Macaca mulatta: one gene and its partners. The protein of the gene in region 1 interacts with the protein of each later gene in a pairwise test. Links are inferred from orthologs where the notes say so. Each region holds a gene or a part of one and is shown in the gene's direction. Other genes may lie near its edges.

Evidence for each region.
Region 2: the proteins of STAT3 (region 1) and SRI interact in binary tests that used the Homo sapiens proteins (3 or more experiments, as listed by UniProt). The link is inferred for Macaca mulatta from reciprocal best matches to the Homo sapiens genes STAT3 and SRI.
Region 3: the proteins of STAT3 (region 1) and NFKBIZ interact in a two-hybrid assay, tested with the Homo sapiens proteins (2 studies listed by BioGRID and IntAct). The link is inferred for Macaca mulatta from reciprocal best matches to the Homo sapiens genes STAT3 and NFKBIZ.

Annotation. Positions count from the first base shown.
Region 1 is NC_133421.1:66,679,869-66,683,520, reverse strand, and holds part of STAT3 (signal transducer and activator of transcription 3), read left to right. Parts: exon of another isoform or gene 1-367; coding exon 368-449; exon of another isoform or gene 450-612; coding exon 613-734; exon of another isoform or gene 735-910; coding exon 911-1,062; exon of another isoform or gene 1,063-1,217; intron 1,218-1,953; exon of another isoform or gene 1,954-2,380; intron 2,381-3,112; exon of another isoform or gene 3,113-3,652. UniProt on the Homo sapiens protein: Signal transducer and transcription activator that mediates cellular responses to interleukins, KITLG/SCF, LEP and other growth factors. Once activated, recruits coactivators, such as NCOA1 or MED1, to the promoter region of the target gene.
Region 2 is NC_133408.1:131,185,426-131,189,177, forward strand, and holds the start of SRI (sorcin), read left to right. Parts: upstream 1-1,087; 5' UTR 1,088-1,129; coding exon 1,130-1,180; intron 1,181-1,918; exon of another isoform or gene 1,919-1,989; intron 1,990-2,180; coding exon 2,181-2,264; intron 2,265-3,752. UniProt on the Homo sapiens protein: Calcium-binding protein that modulates excitation-contraction coupling in the heart. Contributes to calcium homeostasis in the heart sarcoplasmic reticulum. Modulates the activity of RYR2 calcium channels.
Region 3 is NC_133407.1:181,752,366-181,755,202, reverse strand, and holds the end of NFKBIZ (NF-kappa-B inhibitor zeta), read left to right. Parts: coding exon 1-52; intron 53-242; coding exon 243-306; intron 307-595; coding exon 596-765; intron 766-1,637; coding exon 1,638-1,748; intron 1,749-1,876; coding exon 1,877-2,146; 3' UTR 2,147-2,291; downstream 2,292-2,837. UniProt on the Homo sapiens protein: Involved in regulation of NF-kappa-B transcription factor complexes. Inhibits NF-kappa-B activity without affecting its nuclear translocation upon stimulation.

The DNA of each region.
Region 1 (3,652 bases):
AGGCCCAAGCAGTTCTCTTACCTCATCCTCCCAAGTAACCAGGACCGCAGGCGTGCACCACCACGCCCAGCTAATTTAAAACAAAATTTTGTAGAGATGGGGGTCTCCCTGTGTTGCCCAGGCTGATCTCAAACTCCTGGGCTCAAGTGATCCTCCCAACTCAGTCTCTCAAAGTGCTAGGATTACAGGCGTGAGCCACTGCGCCTGGCCACCAGGGAGTCTTCTCTTGGGGATACTGCCTGCAAGTCCTCCATGTATCTTTTTTGAGGTTTTGGCTTCATTTGAATTCTCCTCCGATACGTTATTTTTTCTGTTCCCAAGGAAATCTTTTTTTACTTCTGTTTTTTTGTTTACTTATTTTAAACAGGATCTAGAACAGAAAATGAAAGTGGTAGAGAATCTCCAGGATGACTTTGATTTCAACTATAAAACCCTCAAGAGTCAAGGAGGCAAGTGAATATTAGAGACGTTAAAATCTCTAGAAAGTGAGTTTGTGTTGTTGAGTTGAAAGAGTCATTTGTCTTAACTCTTAGATCTTAAGGCGGTCGGGGCGCAAGGGAGTTACGGGTGCTCAAAGGAGCCTGGTCATTAAGGACAGGATTATTCCCTCAGGTCAAGGAGTTTCTCCTTCCTCCGCAGACATGCAAGATCTGAATGGAAACAACCAGTCAGTGACCAGGCAGAAGATGCAGCAGCTGGAACAGATGCTCACTGCGCTGGACCAGATGCGGAGAGTAAGGGCATCGGTCGGACCACTTCCCCTGTGTGTCTCGCTCACTTGCGGGATTTCAGCATCTTGTGGCAGAACTTGCTTGGTTTCTAAGAAGTTCCTGCTCTGGAGTTGACTAAAGAATGTGGTTAGAGACTGTCTGAGGAAATGTTTTCTGACTTTGTTTTGGTTTCCAACCAGAGCATCGTGAGTGAGCTGGCGGGGCTTTTGTCAGCGATGGAGTACGTGCAGAAAACTCTCACAGACGAGGAGCTGGCTGACTGGAAGAGGCGGCAACAGATTGCCTGCATTGGAGGTCCGCCCAACATCTGCCTAGATCGGCTAGAAAACTGGTAAAGGATGAAAGAAGCTTTTCCTTTCTTTCTCGAAAGCTAGATTGAATTCTGATCTTAACTGCAGGCCCACAGAATTGGTACTCTATCTCCAACGTGGGGACTTTTCCATATTCAAATTTAACCCAATAATTAAAGTTTTTACTTTATTTTGGCTGGGCGGAGGCCAAGATGGGCGGATCACTTGAGGTCAGGTGTTGGAGACCAGCCTGGCTAACATGGTGAAAACCCATTTCTGCTAAAAACATAAAAATTAGCCGGGCATGGTGGTGCATGCCTGTAGTCCCAGCTACTCTGGGCGGCTGAGGCAGGAGAATCACTTGAACCTGGGATATGGAGGTTGCAGTGAGCCGAGATCGCACTACCGGATGCCAACCAGCCTGGGTGACACAGTGAGACTCCATCTCAAAAAAATAAAAATAAAATAAAGTTTTTACTTTATTTGGAGAAACTTTGTTTAAAAAAATGTATTTATATTATTATATTTTAAGTATATTTTACTTGATTCAATTAAGGCTTTTGGTTTAACTGTATTTAACAGATAAACAAAACTTTTAATTTTAGTTATTTTAGTAATCTAAAACAACGCATGCCCTTTTTAAGGGGAAAAATCCAAATACAGAAAATTAATCAAGTGAAGAAAAAAAATTTTTTTTTTTTTTTTGAGATGGAGTCTCGCTCTGTTGCCCAGGCTGGAGTGCAGTGGCGCGATCTCCCCTCACTGTAAGCTCCGCCTCCCAGGTTCACGCCATTCTCCTGCCTCAGCCTACCAAGTAGCTGGGACTACAGGCGCCCGCCACTATGCCCGGCTAATTTTTGTATTTTTAGTAGAGACAGGGTTTCACCGTGTTGGCCAGGATAGTCTCAATCTCCTGATCCGCCCGTCTTGGCCTCCCAAAGTGCTGGGATTACAGGCGTGAACCACCGCACCTGGCCGAAGAAAAGATTTTTAAATTAAATCATCAGCAGTACTGGTAGTTACAATTTTAGTTGACGCGCAGTCTAGACATCTGTCATTATGTATATACACATAAAGACAGAAATTTATACAGTTTATATTAGCAGGATCATTTTTTTTTCTTTTTTTGGAGTCAGGGTCTCACTGTGTTACCCAGTCTAGAGTACAGTGATGCAATCATGGCTCACTAGAGCCTTGACCTCCTGGGCTCAAGCAATCTTCCCACCTTTGCCTTCTGAGTAGCTGGGACTACAGGTGTGCACCACCACACCTGGCTAATTCTTAAATTTTTTATAGAGACAGGGTCTTACTTTGTTGCCTGGACTGGTCTCAAACTCCTGGGCTCAAGGGATCATCCCACTTTGGCCTCTCAGAAGCGCTGGAATTATAGATGTGAGCTGCTGTGCCCAGCCCAGGATCTTTATATGCTTTTCTGTAATCTGCACTTTTACCTTCATCCAGTAAATCTTACTGCACACCCTTCATGTGCAAGGCCCTATAGTGAGCATGTTGCACCAGCTTGCCCTAGGAGACACTTGAGATACAGAGCCTGAACTGGAAATTTAGGGCAACTCTACATGAGAATGCGTGTCTATTCATATCCTCACTAACCCCGAGTGTTGTTAATTTACTGAAAGCAGTTTTACATGCTTCCTGACCAGGGAACGAAGAAGCTTAAGTTCTGGGAATGGGAGGATAGAAGTGCCAGAAAAGAGTTAGGGAGTTCAGAAATCCCTGCAGCAGTCCTTCTCCCTCTCCTTTCACTTTCTGTCTTTCTAGTCTTTTGGTTTATTACACTAGTGATAAACCATCAAAGAATGATGGAATGATGCTAAACTTCTCTATTCTTTTTTTTTTTTTTTTTTGAGACTAGAGTCTCACTTTGTCACCCAGGTTAGAGTGCAGTGACACGATCATGGCTTGCTGCAACCTTCTCCTCCCAGGTTCAAGCAATCTTAGCCACAACCTTCCAAGTAGCCAGGATTACAGGCCCATGCCACCATGCCTGGCTATTTTTTTGTGTTTTAGTACAGATGGGGTTTCACCATGTTGGCCAGGCTGGTCTCAAACTCCTGGTCTCAAGCGATCCACCTGCCTCGGCCTCTCAAATTTCTGGGATTACAGGTGTGACCCACTGTGCCTGGCCTAATATTCTCTATTCCTGGAGATAGATTTAATGAGCTTTTTCTTACTCTCTATTCACTTATTCCTTGTGCATGTTATCAATGTCTTGAAACATAATGTTGTGTCCTTTGATCAGTTGAAGGCTGACATTGAAAAGGTTTATGGGGATTGGGTGTCGTGGCTCACGCCTATAAATCCCAGTGCTTTGGGAGGCAGAATCAGGAGGATTGCTTGAACCCAGGAGTTTGAGACCAGCCTGGGCAACAAAGTGAGGTCCCATTCCTACAAAAATTTAAAAAACTAGACATGTGCCATTACACTTCAGCCTGGGTGACAAGAGTGAGACTCCATCTCAAAAAACTAAACAGGCATGGTGGCACACACCTGTAGTTCTAGCTACTCAGGAAGCCGAGGTAGGAGGATCACTCATGTCCAGGAGTTGGAGGAGGCAGTGAGCTATGATCATGCCATTACACTGCACTGGGCCACAGAGTGGGACCCTGCCTC
Region 2 (3,752 bases), on another chromosome or scaffold:
CCCTTTAAATGTTTCTGTGCAACCTCCACAACAAATACTGTGAATCTTGCTTATTAATGCGTTTCTCACTATGTTAAAATTCAGGAAATCATTAAGTCTAGTCCTTAACAGTGAAGGGCAAGCAAACATTTTTCTGTGTCATTGAAATTACACAAAACAAAACAAAACAAAACAAAAAGCTCACGCCTGAATTGCTTCGGACTATTCAACTGGGAGATAGAAAAATATGTGAAGTAAAGAAGAATAACCTACATTGAAGTTCCTATCTCTTATCTTCCTGAATACTGAAAAAACACACTCTTACTTTGTTCTAAACTTTTCTTATATAAAAAGTAGCTGAATAATTTTAGGGAAATGGATTGTTTTGTCTGAATCATCCAGATAATTCAAACAATTCATTTTGCTAAGAACGATCTGGGTGAGGCTGTCCTGCCTGGAAAATGCCCCCTGTCCTACTCAGGACACGAGCCACGCCCAGCTTAAACAGGCAAGTAATTGACCCCTAGGAAGGAAATACGCCGTTGTCGTTGAATGAACTTTGCAATCAACCGCAAGCCAGACTCTCCCTTGCACACCGTTCGTCAAGTTAATTCTTCTTTTCCAAGGGAGCTTTCGTATTTCCATCGTTCAACGACTCCTTCACCCACTAGCACCTAAGACTTGCCCGAAGGAATTCAGCCCCTGCCTCGCGATGGTGCGCTCCGCTTATAGTAGCTCCGTCCTGTCCAATAAAGTTGTTTAAAATAAGAAATGTGCCAGATAATAGCCAAGTCCGACGGAAAAAAAAAAAAAAAAAAAGAATTCCTGGGGCGGTGTATCGATGTTGGAATGTGCCATTAGTTTCGGAGGGAGGAAAGTCCCTGGTGTGAATTGCCTCGCAGGTCGTAGGCCACCACTGGACCTTCGGTCGTGCACTGCGTTAGCACCGTAATGGCAAAGATAGGAAGAAGCGCGCAGGCAGTGGAGCCACGGCCGCGTGCACAGGCAGGAACTGAAGACAGCTGCGGAGCGCCTCCCCCACGCCCGTGTGGTGCGCTCTGGGGCGGCCCCCTCGCGGCAGGGCGGGGCGGGGCAGGCGGCTGGGAGGCTTGGTGCACAGAGCCAGGGAGGCGGCGGCGCAGTCTGCACCATGGCGTACCCAGGGCATCCTGGCGCCGGCGGCGGGTACTACCCAGGCGGGGTAAGTGCTGATTGCGCGGGATCGCTGCCCAGGCGGCTCCGGGGCGCTAAGAGGCCACCTTGGAGATGCTGCGGCCAGCGGGGTGAGGCGCTGCTGGGCAGCTGCCCGGGCTCCTTCCGCCCTCGGCTTCTGCCTGCGCTCGCGGCCTCGCCCTAGGCCCCTGCGGTTCGGCCTCTCCCCTGGTTTCCCCCGTCCCTTCTCCTGGATGGCTCTGCGGGCCCAAGGTGAAGGTGGATTGGGACCCCAGAAGCCCGCCCTGCGGCTTCTCGGATACGCGGCATGAAATCGTGTTAATTGGGTGTTGACTAACCCCCACTTCACCCCACCCCCGCCCTCTCGGTTGCCTCCCAAAGCAACAACAGTCATTTTATTCTAGAATGATACTTCGATATACCTTCCTCCCTCAAAAAAAAAAAAAAAAAAAAAAAAAAAGTGAGAAGGGGGACAGAAAAAAAAGGAAAACCTACTGAAGTAAAAGACCTGTAGGAAGGCAGCCTTGCCGGGCGTCTGGGATGCGCGTTGTCTTGGGAACTGTTTCCGAGACAGGCAGTGTTCCCTCGCCACCCACGAGATACAGCCCGGTCAGACACCTTACTCTTCCCTAGGCTACACCCGTCTCAGAATGTTACCAACTCCAGCCTTCCATCGTTCATAAAACGCTTTTAAAATACCATAAATGCTGTAACAACAAAAGGAGAATTCCAAGCCCTTTCATTGGCTTGCCTAGTTTGCACTCACCTCAGTAACCTTCAAGTTAATAGGGATTTTAAAAGTTGCTTTACATATGCAGACATCACTTCCACAGCAACTCTTTATGGTCCAAGTCGCCAGTTTTTAAATTACGGGGGTGTGAATGGAAGAGAGGGGTGGAGTGTTGGCAGAGTGTGCCTGGGGGTGGGGAGGTGAGCCTTGTGAAGGGCAGGCAGGCGGGCAGTTGTCTGGCCTTGCAGTGGTGAAAGAAGAAAACTTGAATGACGGGTTTGTGTTTCCTGTTTCACAGTACGGAGGGGCTCCCGGAGGACCTGCGTTTCCCGGACAAACTCAGGATCCGCTGTATGGTTACTTTGCTGCTGTAGCTGGACAGGTTAGCTTTTACCTTTAATATTAAAGGGCCGTTATTGTCCGCATTTGTGGTAGCTTTTGATATAGTGACACTGAAAAGCGAACTTCCTCTGGTACTGAGTCCCTTTGCTTCTGCAACAGAAAAAAAAGAAAAAAAGAAAGTTCTTTGTTTCTTATTTTAGTTATTTATTTTTGAATGTTCAGAATAAATTAGGACAAAGTGTTACTCGTATTTATGTGAGTTCAGTTCGAAACCAAACTTGTGGTTGAATTAAATGTTCCAGGGTGGTTTCCAGCGAAGAAATTCTAGATCTGGTAAATATAAACCCTTGTTTGTACAACTTAAAGACGTTTATTAGTAATTACATAGCCCGATTCTCATGGGCACTTCCTTTGGGTTGAACTTGATTGCTAATCATTCACCCACTTAGGAAATATGGTAAAAACCCACCAGGTTCTAAATAAGCAAGTTACTGTCCCCTTATTAGTATCAGGAAGTTAATCTTGTGAACAATGTAGTTTCTCTTTGACGCAGATGCTGTTACTAGGTTAGCCCCTCCCCCTCCGTGTCCTTATTAGGTGCTGTGGCCTGTTGACCCAGAGAAGCAGAAGGTCAGCTCCCCAAGACCTTTCACTTGTCTGCATTCTGCGTCGTATGACAGGAGCTGTCTTACATTGACAGGTGCTATCTTACATTGTGAGAGGACACTTCCCTAGCTCATGAGGTCACTGTGTACAGTAAATATACTGTCGGTATAACCCAGACATGTCCAGAGGGGATGTTTGTTCTTATGAATTCAACCTAGTCTTGTTTTGACCAAAAGCTAGAAATAGCAAAATTTTAATGTGAAAACTGTAGAATATTATGGGATAAAAAAACCGAAGACCACTTTTTAAGGTAGTACTCTAAGAAATACAGCTTAAGAAATTGAATGGAAAAATAGTCTAAAACTGGAAGACCTTCCCCTTAAGTGTCTACTTAATCTGTTAATGATCCGTATCTTTGAAACCACAAGACATGGCAAACCTCAAGACCAGCATTCTTAGATTGCCAGTGCCTCCAGCATGTAAGTGACCCCACCTGCTTAGCTTTCAGCAGCCCTGGCCTGTATTCAGCATACCCATTGTGTTTCAAATTGTTGCTCTTGCTCCTCATTTATAACCTATAATACCCAGTGACTTGAGGATTTAGGTATTTTATTTTAAAGTCCCTAAAAATCACATATATCTAGTTCTTTCCCAGTTCAGCCAGTGAACAGGCACTGGGAACCTAATGTGTATCTTCCAGATGTATTTGTGCTCTGAAAAAAAACATTCACTATGTCATAAGAAAAAGTGACCAAGAGGCCTCTCTCTGTTTGAACCAAGCCTTCTCTTTACTTATGTCTGGTGTGTAGCTTGCTCTGTCCACCCGCCTCAAACAAAAAGAAAAGAAAAGAAAAGAAGACAAGGAATTATGATTAAGCAACTTACATAAATTATTTTAAAATGTTTAGCTGTAGCAGTTTCC
Region 3 (2,837 bases), on another chromosome or scaffold:
AAGAACACCTCTGCATGTCTGTGCTGAGAAGGGCCACTGCCAGGTGCTTCAGGTAAGAGGCAGCAGACCAGGCTTCCATCATTGCAAGGCCAGAGAGATACAGTTGGATATTAGAAGTTGGATATAGGTTGCCTATTGCAATAATCTATTTTGAGTTAACTTACTCATTTCTTGGGGATTCTAATAGTTAGGTATATGTGCAGCTTGTGTTGCTAACAGATGTCTGTTTTTAAAATCTGCAGGCGATTCAGAAGGGAGCAGTGGGAAGTAATCAGTTTGTGGATCTTGAGGCAACTAACTATGATGGTAAGCAACTGAAACTTTATTAGATTGAGAGCCACTTAGAGAGGGGGACCCATAAGGTCTAAGGGTACTAAGTATCATGCTAAGAAGGAAGGTAATTAAAGCTAAAATATTCTGTAGATAAAATTAGCACTGAGACCCAACAAAGGGACTATATTCAGATTGCTTTACTAGTTCTTGTGAAGCCCATTTGTAGGTTAAGTTAGAGGCCATCCTCAACTTTTGTCGTTATAGAAGGACCAAAAGACCTGATGGGATGCTCGACCACTGCTTGATTATACTTTTCTTCTAGGCCTGACTCCCCTTCATTGTGCAGTCATAGCCCACAATGCTGTGGTCCATGAACTCCAGAGAAATCAACAGCCTCATTCACCTGAAGTTCAGGAGCTTTTACTGAAGAATAAGAGTCTGGTTGATACCATTAAGTGCCTAATTCAAATGGGAGCAGCGGTGGAAGCGAAGGTAAATTCAAAGAAAAGGTTTAAGATGGGGTAGGGGAGAAGCTGGTTATAGCAGAAGAGCAAAAGACCTTGCTTCCAAGTACAGATTCAGACTTCCTTTTTTTTTTTTTGAAATTAATGGTGTGAGTAGCAATGTATGGGGTGGTTAAGAAGCCCAGATTTTAACAGATCGTTTCATGTGTTTTTTTGATTTGCTTTGAATCTGTGGATTATTATCCAAAAGGTCATTTAGGTGTAAAATAAATTAGTCTTTGAAAGGAAAAGAAAATGCCTAAAATTGATATTGTCATTTTGGCTTCCGTTTTCCTACACTGAGAATAAAGGTAGTGCTTTTTGTAAGGGTTTCTTCATTGTTGTGGGATGTGGAATTCATCTTCTGTTTTTACGCTGGAAAATATTCTTTTAAAATTTGGTTTTATTCACTGAATATGTGGGGAAAATTGCCTAAGTCATAAACCGTTTGGACCCTTGAGGTTTACTGTCTAGTCAAAGAGGTGAGAGATACAGCTAAATATGACTCTGCAGGGAGGCTACCAAGTCCGGAAATGCAGGTGAATACATAATACATGGTTTACTGATATGTTACGACATAGGATTTAAAAATATCATTTATTTTTCTACATTTTATGGCCACTCTGTATAAAAAGATACATTGTGATAAGAGGCATACAGGCAAATTAATAGGAAATTTAAGGGAAATAAAAGATTCCCTTTAGCTTGGGATTAAGCAAGGCATTGTGGAGAAGGGAGCATTCAAAGTGAGTCTCTGAAGCCGAATCAGACATTCAAGAGACTGGGTGAAAAGTGTATTCCAAGGCATGGTATCTGGATTTTCTTTTTTTTTTTTTTTGTCTCCCTCTTGCCTTTGACAAGGATCGCAAAAGTGGCCGCACAGCCCTGCATTTGGCAGCTGAAGAAGCAAATCTGGAACTCATTCGCCTCTTTTTGGAGCTGCCCAGTTGCCTGTCTTTTGTGAATGCAAAGGTACTTTTAGAAAGCTTTAATAACCACACCAGAGTGGGAATGGCCTTCTGTATACCTTCTCAAAGTTTTTGAGCTCCTTTCATGAAATTTCCCCCTTCCTGATGTCTGGTATTTCGTTTTATCTTCAGGCTTACAATGGCAACACTGCCCTCCATGTTGCTGCCAGCCTGCAGTACCGGCTGACACAATTAGATGCCGTCCGTCTGTTGATGAGGAAGGGAGCCGACCCAAGTACTCGGAACTTGGAGAACGAACAGCCAGTGCATTTGGTTCCCGATGGCCCTGTGGGAGAACAGGTGAGAGGCACAGGAGGGAGAGGAAGTACTTTTTGGCACTCCAGTCTGAAACATAAAGGGAGATTAGGCTGTGCAGGGCAGAGGCCAGCTGTTGCTCTTTAGGTGGGCTCTATCAGTGTCTGTGTCTCACGGTAGCCATCATAGCATTTTGGTGTTCCTCTTGCTTTGGAAACAGAGCAATTAAGAAATCTGAGGGTTTATCCATAGACTCAAAATGGTTAGAGGTCAGGTAGTATTCTGTGACACAGACTTAGGGTTAGAGTAAGTCAGAATGGTTTAAGGTGCGGAAAGAGAAGGTACCAAGGTTCCTGCAGATACCAAGGAAAGAGAATCTTAGTCTTTTAAGGTATGAGCCTTCAAATATTGTGGATATTAAATGAGTTGTTATATGTGGAGTGCTGACAGTAGTCCCAGGTACAGAGTAAGAAGAGCTCAGTGAACATCAATAGTTAGAATTATTTCTGTCTACGAAGTGATACTGAACCAAAAATGCAAAAATTATGTAATTTCAAGCCTAGAAATACTTTACACTTTAAACAGAATTAATGCTTTATTCATCAAATATGGTTATATGTTATCATTGAGGATTGAATAGTTTCATGAGTAAACTTTTTAGATAATAAGAACTTATTCTTTTAAGAACTTAAAATGTTTTTGATAGAACTCTTTTCCTGGAGGGAATGAGGGGGATTGTGGCTGTGGGTAGGTCATTACATACTTTACTAATCACAAAATAAAATATGTGGAATGCCGTTTAGCTTTTTCTTTGATTCTGAGCTGTCATTATGACCAT